2 linked regions of the Oryzias latipes genome follow. The protein of the gene in region 2 purifies or fractionates together with the protein of the main gene of each other region. This does not show direct contact. Links are inferred from orthologs where the notes say so. Each region holds a gene or a part of one and is shown on either strand. Other genes may lie near its edges.

Region 1 (4,006 bases), on a different chromosome or scaffold from region 2:
GAAGGCGAAGGATGTTTTCTCACATGCATTTTCAGAACCTGAAGGAAGACAAAAACATGGAGGACTTTCAAAAATACTTTAAAGTATCCTTTAAAATTCCAACCATAAGCTAGAATACACACACATAGAGAGAGGGGGAGTAAATTACAACTATATTTAAAGCATCTAAAATTCATTTTACCAAAATCCAGAAACTGCTTCATGGATAAAGGCGAAGGAGAAAACTTTGAGTAATAGTCAATGTCCTTCCCGACCGCCACGCTCTTCCTCAGGAACCTTAAAAGCCTCATGTTGCTCTCCGGCCTCGACTTGATCAGATTTCAAACACACACGACACGTCCGAATTCTTATGGCGCACGCGGCCACAACAATAAATATGTGACGCTTGTTGACACACTAGCTTGTTGGCTAAACTCAGCAGTTCGCCCGCACGTTTGCGATTATCGACCGTGTTTCCACTTGGACTGAATTCCTGCTGCAGGCATGGTCACAGACGGACTAAAGCATCATCCCTCACTTCGGACGTCCTCTGTAAAATTCAGTCAAAAGTCAACACGGCAAACGCACCCACTCCGCAGCTGAGCTAGCAAGTTCAAAGAGTTGATTCGACGCCGAGAGAACAACGCAACTATTTTGCAGTAGTCTTTATAAAATAAAGATGACAACTTTTATGCAATTTAAATAGATTATTCTTCTGCTTTTATTTTATGGTGGTTGGAATACAACTTTTGGGATGTTCGCCACCTACAAATTGATCACTTTTGGTTCCTAACCCGCATATCAGATGGGTTAGATTAGACCGCTAAAAACACCACTAATGTAGAAAGTAATACATATTTGCGTGACAAATAAAATATATGTTGTTTTACTTTAAAGCGTTTAACAACAAAACGAATTTATATAATTTTAATTATTTAGCAAAATGCAAGAGGAATTATTAACATGTAGTTCATATCTACGACACTAAAAAGTGCGTTCTGTGCATCTCTTGTCCTCTATTAACTCTTTGACTGGTTGAAATGCCGTCGCTCTGATCCCCAGTGCTTGTCTGTAAGGTTAAAAAATAAAAACCAATCAAATGTCAGCATTTTTCATTTCGGCACAGTAATTTGGTGTTAAGGATGTCAATCTAAACTAGAGGGTGGGGCTTTTTCTCTGACAGACAGAATTGAGGGCAAAATTGCATGTTGAAAGTGGCGTCACTTCCTTTAGCTACAACAGAAAGTATGCTCAAAGAAACGTTTGGTCAGTTACCCACGTTTTTTTTAAAGATGCTTCGCTAGTATTATTATATTTACCGGCACAGTGAAAGAATTAGTTATTAGACTATGATTTAAAATATCCGTGGCTAACGTAAGAAGTCCTCTCATTAGACGGTTTTTCTTCGGTGAAGCTAGTTGAACCGGCAGCTCGTGCTAGCGACCCGCCAAAAACTGTGGTGAAAGATACCATTTTGTTCGTAAGCTGTAAAGTCATTTTGTTTTTATCAGAGGAAGAACATGAGTGGCGGATTCAACTTCGGGCAACCTTCGGGTTTTGCCTTCGGAGCGCAGAAGACCACAGCGGCCGCTCCGGCCCCGGGCTTCAGTTTAACGAACTCCACGGCTGCGGCTTCGGGAACGGGCTTCTCTTTTGGCACTCCGACTCAGAGTCAGACCAACGCCAACCCGACCGGTGGCTTCAGTTTTGGCGCACCGGCTAAGAACTCTTCCGCCGGCGGCACCGGCTTCTCCTTTGGCACACCCAACGCCGCCGCCGCCACCGGCACGTTCGGCCTGGCCACGACTACCCAAACCACCGCCGCCACTGGGTTGACCTTAGGCTCCTCGGCCGCTCCAGCTGCGGGGTCCGGCTTCACCCTGGGCGGGATGTTGTCTTCGCAGACGAACAGCGCCGCTCCAGCGGGAGGGGGCTTCAACTTTGGGGCTACCTCCCAGGCCCCACCCGCAGCGACAGTTGCACCTACAACAACCACCGCATCAGGTGGCATGGCTTTCGGAGGGTTCAGCTTCGGAGCGCCGAAAGTCCAGGTGACCTCAGCTGCAAGCACAACCATCGCAGCGGGGGGAGGAGGCTTCAGCTTCGGGACCCCTGCCCCCTCCACCCTCACCCAGCCAGCCCCAGCAGCTGCAGCTCCAGCAGCTCCAACCCAGGGTGGAGGGTTTAACTTCGGAATTAAACCCTCATCAACACCAGCTCCTCCCGCATCCACCCAGTCAGCCCCCACCCAGTCAGCCCCCACCCTAGGCCTGTCTCTGTTTGCGTCACCTATCATCACAACCTCTGCAGCAGCGCCAACTTCAGGTTTTACTTTGGGTGCAGCTCCAGCGTTGTCAACCAGCATGGCAGCATCCACAGCTGCAGGTACAGCTCCATCCTTCATGCTCAAGCCTCTGGGGTCCGTTGCCAGCACAGCAGCAAACACCGGCTCCACCACCACCACAACAACTGCAGCTGTCACAGCTAATGCCACCGCAGGCTTCACGCTGGGATTCAAACCTCCGACCATCTCAAGCTCCACAACAGCCTCCACAGCAACAGCCGTTACAACCACCACCACGGCCCCTCCGGTGATGACCTACGCCCAGCTGGAGGGTCTCATAAACAAGTGGAGTCTTGAACTTCAGGACCAAGAGAGGCATTTCTTACAGCAGGCAACTCAGGTCAACGCTTGGGACAGAATGCTGGTGGAGAACGGGGAAAAGATCACGTCTCTGCATAAGGAGATGGAGAAGGTGAAGCTGGACCAGAGAAGGCTCAACCAGGAGCTCGATTTCATTCTGTCCCAGCAGAAGGAGCTGGAGGACTTGCTTTGCCCTCTGGAAGAGACTGTGAAGGAGCAGAGCGGAACCATCTACATGCAGAACGCAGACGAGGAACGCGAAAGAACATACAAGCTCGCTGAGAACGTGGACGCCCAGCTGAAGAGGATGTCACAGGACCTGAAGGAGATCATTGAGCACCTGAACACATCCAGCGGGCCGGCAGACACCAGTGATCCAGTAAGATCTGAGCCTTTTTTTTTTAAATCATATTTCTCATAAAATCAAGTCTTCTGCTGTTTTAATCGCCTTCCTTTCTTTTTGAATCCTTTAGCTTCAGCAGATTTGCAAGATCCTGAATGCTCACATGGATTCGCTGCAGTGGATCGACCAGAACTCTGTCCTGCTGCACAGAAGAGTGGAGGAAGTGTCCAAACAGTGCGACACCCAGCGCAAAGAGCAGGAGAAGACCTTTCGTCTAACCTTTGACTGATTTGTTTTTTGGCTCAGTGCTTATTTTTCCCATTTTGCTTTGGATTTTCTCCTTTATTATACTTCTATTGTGTGTTGCAAAACTATTTTAAATGCAATCATCTTTATAATTGTATCTACCTGAATAGAATGATTAAAAACAAATTTTGAACTTTTTTGTGTTTTCACATCCTAATTTTACCTGTTTTTTATCTATATTTAGGATTGAAAAACATCTAATGACAAGATTTGTTTCTTGTTCTAAGACTGATGTTACCCCTTGTGCTATCTTAGATGACCCCACCCTTACATTGACGTGTTCTCCCTACCATGACAAAGGTGGAAAGATTTCATGTAATCCATGGACACCAGTGAAGATCACAAATCATTGAAGAAAAAAGGTTCAGCGCACTGTCTAGTGGGTCTAGATGACCCCACTCCCAATGTTAAAGTGCCTAGGATAGCACAAGGGTTAATACTTGCAAGGTGGATTTTCAATTAGGATGTTTTTGCTATGACACTCGTTTGAAGGGGAATTGACTTCAGCATTTGTTTGAGTTTTGTCAAAACAATGTTTTAAACTTAATTTACGGAGAAGCTGAAGATGTTTTTTTTTTTATATAGAAAAGGAAGATTCATTAGAAATAATTCTTTAAATTGTTTTATATATGACAAAAAGAAGCAGTTACACCCATAAAAACAGTCTTTTTAGCACATTCCCTTTGGATTGAATAAAAATAAAAACAATCCGATTCAGTGATGATCTAAAGTAC
Region 2 (3,651 bases):
TTCTGAAAAATGTTTGCGATTCTTCAGGGCATGTTCGGAAACACTGCGGCTTCCCAGCCGGGGGGTTTGTTTGGCTTGACGCAGACCAGCACAGCCACAGGATTTGGTACGGGCACTGGATTGTTCGGACAACCCAGCTCAGGATTTGGAACTGCTGGAACGCAGGTAAGAACTAGATCCAAAATGTCTGTCAGAGTAAAGTAGGCTTCCTTATGAACTTCTGACAATAATTTCAGAATTCTGAAAGTAAAAAAAGTTAATTAGGGACCTGGAGGAAAACCCATCAGAACAAAAGCTCTCCATAAGGTTCTGGTTTCACAGGTGTGACTGTTCTCTTACAGCCAAGTTTGTTTGGCAACAAAGCCACTGGGTTTGGTGCCACCACCACCAGCGCCCCATCTTTTGGCACCACTACTGGAATGTTTGGGGCCAAACCTTTGACTCTGGGAACCGGAACCAACCCCACTAGTTTCGGTGAGTGTTTTCATGGACCTCCTGTTGTGTTCAGGGCCCGGCCTAAATGCTGTGTTTTTATTAGGGTGAACTCTGGGTCTTTCCATTCTGCTACGACTCAATATAATATTCCATCCTATACATTCTTTGAATTGTTTTTTGTAAAATTAGTTTTAATGCAACAAAATATTAAACTTTATTTTCGAACATTAAAAAGGAACTCTACTTTGATTTTTACTTTAAAAAAAGCTTTAAAATTGAATTTTAATTCATATATATGTATGTGTATGTGTATATGTATGTTACTCAGATTTGATGGATTGTTGCTGCAACCCCAAATTTTTTATTTATATAATATATATATATATATATATATATCATATATTTACATTTTTTTTACGAAAATTAATCATTTGACTTTTGTGTCTGTAGGTTTTGGAGCGTCCCCTGCAGGGGGGGGTCTGTTTGGCAACAAAGCAACCACTGGAGCCCTGGGGACTGGACTGGGAACCAGCTTTGGGACAGGTAACCATAGAAACAGAATCTTGGCCTTAAAAAGCTCAGTTTTGATTTTAATTTAAACTATTTATTATAGGCATAAAAATAATTTAATTCTGCAATAAAAAAGGGCAAAACAAAACACATCAATTCTATTTTTAGATATCAGGTTACACATTAATTATAATGTAAAGAAAATTTACAAAGATCTTATGAAATGGTACTATCTTCTTGACACTTTTACTCATAATCATAAATTGACGTTTTTACAGTTATGCATATTTAATAGATTCATTAAATATTATGATTCCAGAATCATAATGACCATCACAAGTGCCTCAAAGGGCAAAACAGTGACTGAGGCAGAGTCGCTTGTTAAAGTTTGACAGGTGACTCCGCCTCAGCCACAATCACCTGTTTTTAAATACTTCACCATTACCTGATGACGACTCTAATGAAGGCGGAAGAGCTTCCGCCGAAACATGTCAGGCATGTGAAACACAACCGTGTCTGATACAAAGTAACTTAAGAAATCATGTAATGCATACAGACACTATTTTTTTTTAATCTTTGCATTATTACAATTTTTTAGTGTTCGAATAAAAAAAGCACAGCTATAGAAAAATTGGCATCCAGCAAACAGGAAGTGTTTGCCAACAGAAAAAGGTATTAGTATATGACCTTTGATTTTCAAAATAAAAGTTTCCATTGGAACATTTCTCTGATGGCTCTGCTTCTCTGGGACATTAGTTTTTTTATGTATTTTTTTTAAATCATCCTCAGATTTAATAGATTATCTTTATATGTCAAAGGTTCTGGTGGGTTTTAGAATCTTACACCTTCTTGCTGCACTTTTGTGTTTCTCACAGTGGGAGCAGGAACCAGTCTATTTGGAAACACCCAAAACAAACTGGGCACCTCGCTGGGAACAATGGGAGCCTTCGGAACAACGGGTTTCAACACCGGGACGAGCTCGCTGGGCTTCGGACCGCAGCAGCAGCCTGTCGGTAAGACGATGCCCTGATTAATGAACGCAAATGCCTGTTCAGACGCTACAGTCCCTGTCTGACCTATCTGCACAGCGCTTACCGATCCAAACGCCAACGCCGCTCAGCAGGCCATGCTCCAGCAGCAGCTGAACATCCTGGCATACTCGCCGTACGGAGACTCGCCATTGTTCAGGAACCCGCTGTCGGACCCCAAGAAAAAGGAGGAGGTACACAAAGGCTCGACACTTTGACCAAAAAGTGTAAACTTTACAGTTTCAGATCACATCTGCTTTATTTCTGACAGCGTCTGAAACCCACAAATCCCACGGCTCAGAAAGCTCTGACCACGCCCACTCACTACAAGCTGACCCCCAGACCCGCCACCAGAGTTCGACCCAAAGCGCTCACATCTGCTGGAGCTTCAAAGTCGCAGCTGTTCGACGGTCTGGATGACGACGAGCCTTCACTCACCAACGGAGCCTTTGTTCCCAGGTACTGTTTCCACGGTAACACCGTATGAGCTGCCGTGGTCCTTGCCGCCATCAGAGAAATGATGATGTCAATCAATCTAACACTGTCCAGTAGGGCATGAAAAAAAAACCTTTCTGCCCCTGAGCAAAAGGAATTCGAGGGTCTGGAAATAATTCCCATTCCGAGAGAAGCCTTGGGAATGGAAAGTACTTACATTTCTGACTCAACTTATGCACATGTAAACGTTCCAATAGTTAAAAAAAAAAACTGTACATAAACCAAATTAAAGCCCCACTAGCTGCATTGTTTTAAAAAATGCTAGTACTTTGAATAAAGAACAGGTTTGTAGTTTGGGTTCATTTGTTTTTAGATTTGTAACATGTCAGAGCACGGAAAGGTTTAATGGACTGGCAGTAGTTTATTATTAGAATTGGTTTCACATGCTCTGATCTTCTGCTCAACAACAGGGTCTAGTTGTTGTTTAGAGGGTCTTAAAGTATAGAATTGCATTTAAACATTGAACTTTACACCAATGCTGCCATGTTTGCATTTGATAGTACAAGAAGTGAAAGGATGACACAATAACAGAAGCCTTTTTATTTCACGCAAATCTGCAGGAGGAGGGTCTTATTTGACATGAAGTGTATTTTATTTAAAAAAGGAACTTTAATGTGCTGCAAGTTAAATGTTATATATAGAAAATCTAACGCTGTTCTTATTCACCTATTGTAAAGATTTAGAACCTGCATTCTATAAATGAGTGGCTTAATGGCCAAACAAGTGAAGAGTAGTTTTCTAAATGGGGAAGAGATTTTGTGGCTCTTGTAGGGTTATGTTCTGTGAAAACTGGACCAAATGGATCTTTTTCTGCGAAGGGTGGCGGATCCGCCAGTAAGGCCCCCAAATGGAGAAAGCCCCCCCCCCCTCTCTCTCTTTGTCCGCACCCCCACAAGTTTCTCGTCAACTATCAGAATAGTAAGGAAAGCTTGGCTTTGTCTGTGAACTGAGAAGAAACAGAAACTTTTAAATCCCTCCAAAAGTCAACTAAAGAAACTTGAATGCTCTCCTGCTCTCTCATTGGTCCTTCTGGAAAGAACTGGATGTTCATCAGATCTTGCATTTTGCTGCATCGACTTTTGATGATACTGCATATGGTGAAGCTGGCATAAAACTGGCTCTAAATTGTCTCTATGTGTGAGTGTGTGTGATTTGTGGCTGGGGGGCTGGGACCTGTCCAGGA

What was found. The genes of interacting proteins can lie anywhere in the genome.
Region 1: the proteins of nup98 (region 2) and nup62 purify together in Homo sapiens (affinity purification with western blotting; 3 studies listed by BioGRID and IntAct, with this or other methods). This does not show direct contact. The link is inferred for Oryzias latipes from reciprocal best matches to the Homo sapiens genes NUP98 and NUP62.

The regions. Positions count from the first base shown.
Region 1 is NC_019879.2:22,073,759-22,077,764, reverse strand, and holds nup62 (nuclear pore glycoprotein p62), read left to right. Parts: upstream 1-1,183; 5' UTR 1,184-1,499; coding exon 1,500-3,002; intron 3,003-3,096; coding exon 3,097-3,255; 3' UTR 3,256-3,409; downstream 3,410-4,006. Other genes in the region: pdk1 (pyruvate dehydrogenase (acetyl-transferring) kinase isozyme 1, mitochondrial), read right to left, coding at 1-38, 182-290. UniProt on the Homo sapiens protein: Essential component of the nuclear pore complex. The N-terminal is probably involved in nucleocytoplasmic transport.
Region 2 is NC_019872.2:23,879,059-23,882,709, reverse strand, and holds part of nup98 (nuclear pore complex protein Nup98-Nup96), read left to right. Parts: intron 1-27; coding exon 28-165; intron 166-341; coding exon 342-474; intron 475-885; coding exon 886-978; intron 979-1,820; coding exon 1,821-1,958; intron 1,959-2,033; coding exon 2,034-2,167; intron 2,168-2,244; coding exon 2,245-2,432; intron 2,433-3,651. UniProt on the Homo sapiens protein: Plays a role in the nuclear pore complex (NPC) assembly and/or maintenance. NUP98 and NUP96 are involved in the bidirectional transport across the NPC. May anchor NUP153 and TPR to the NPC.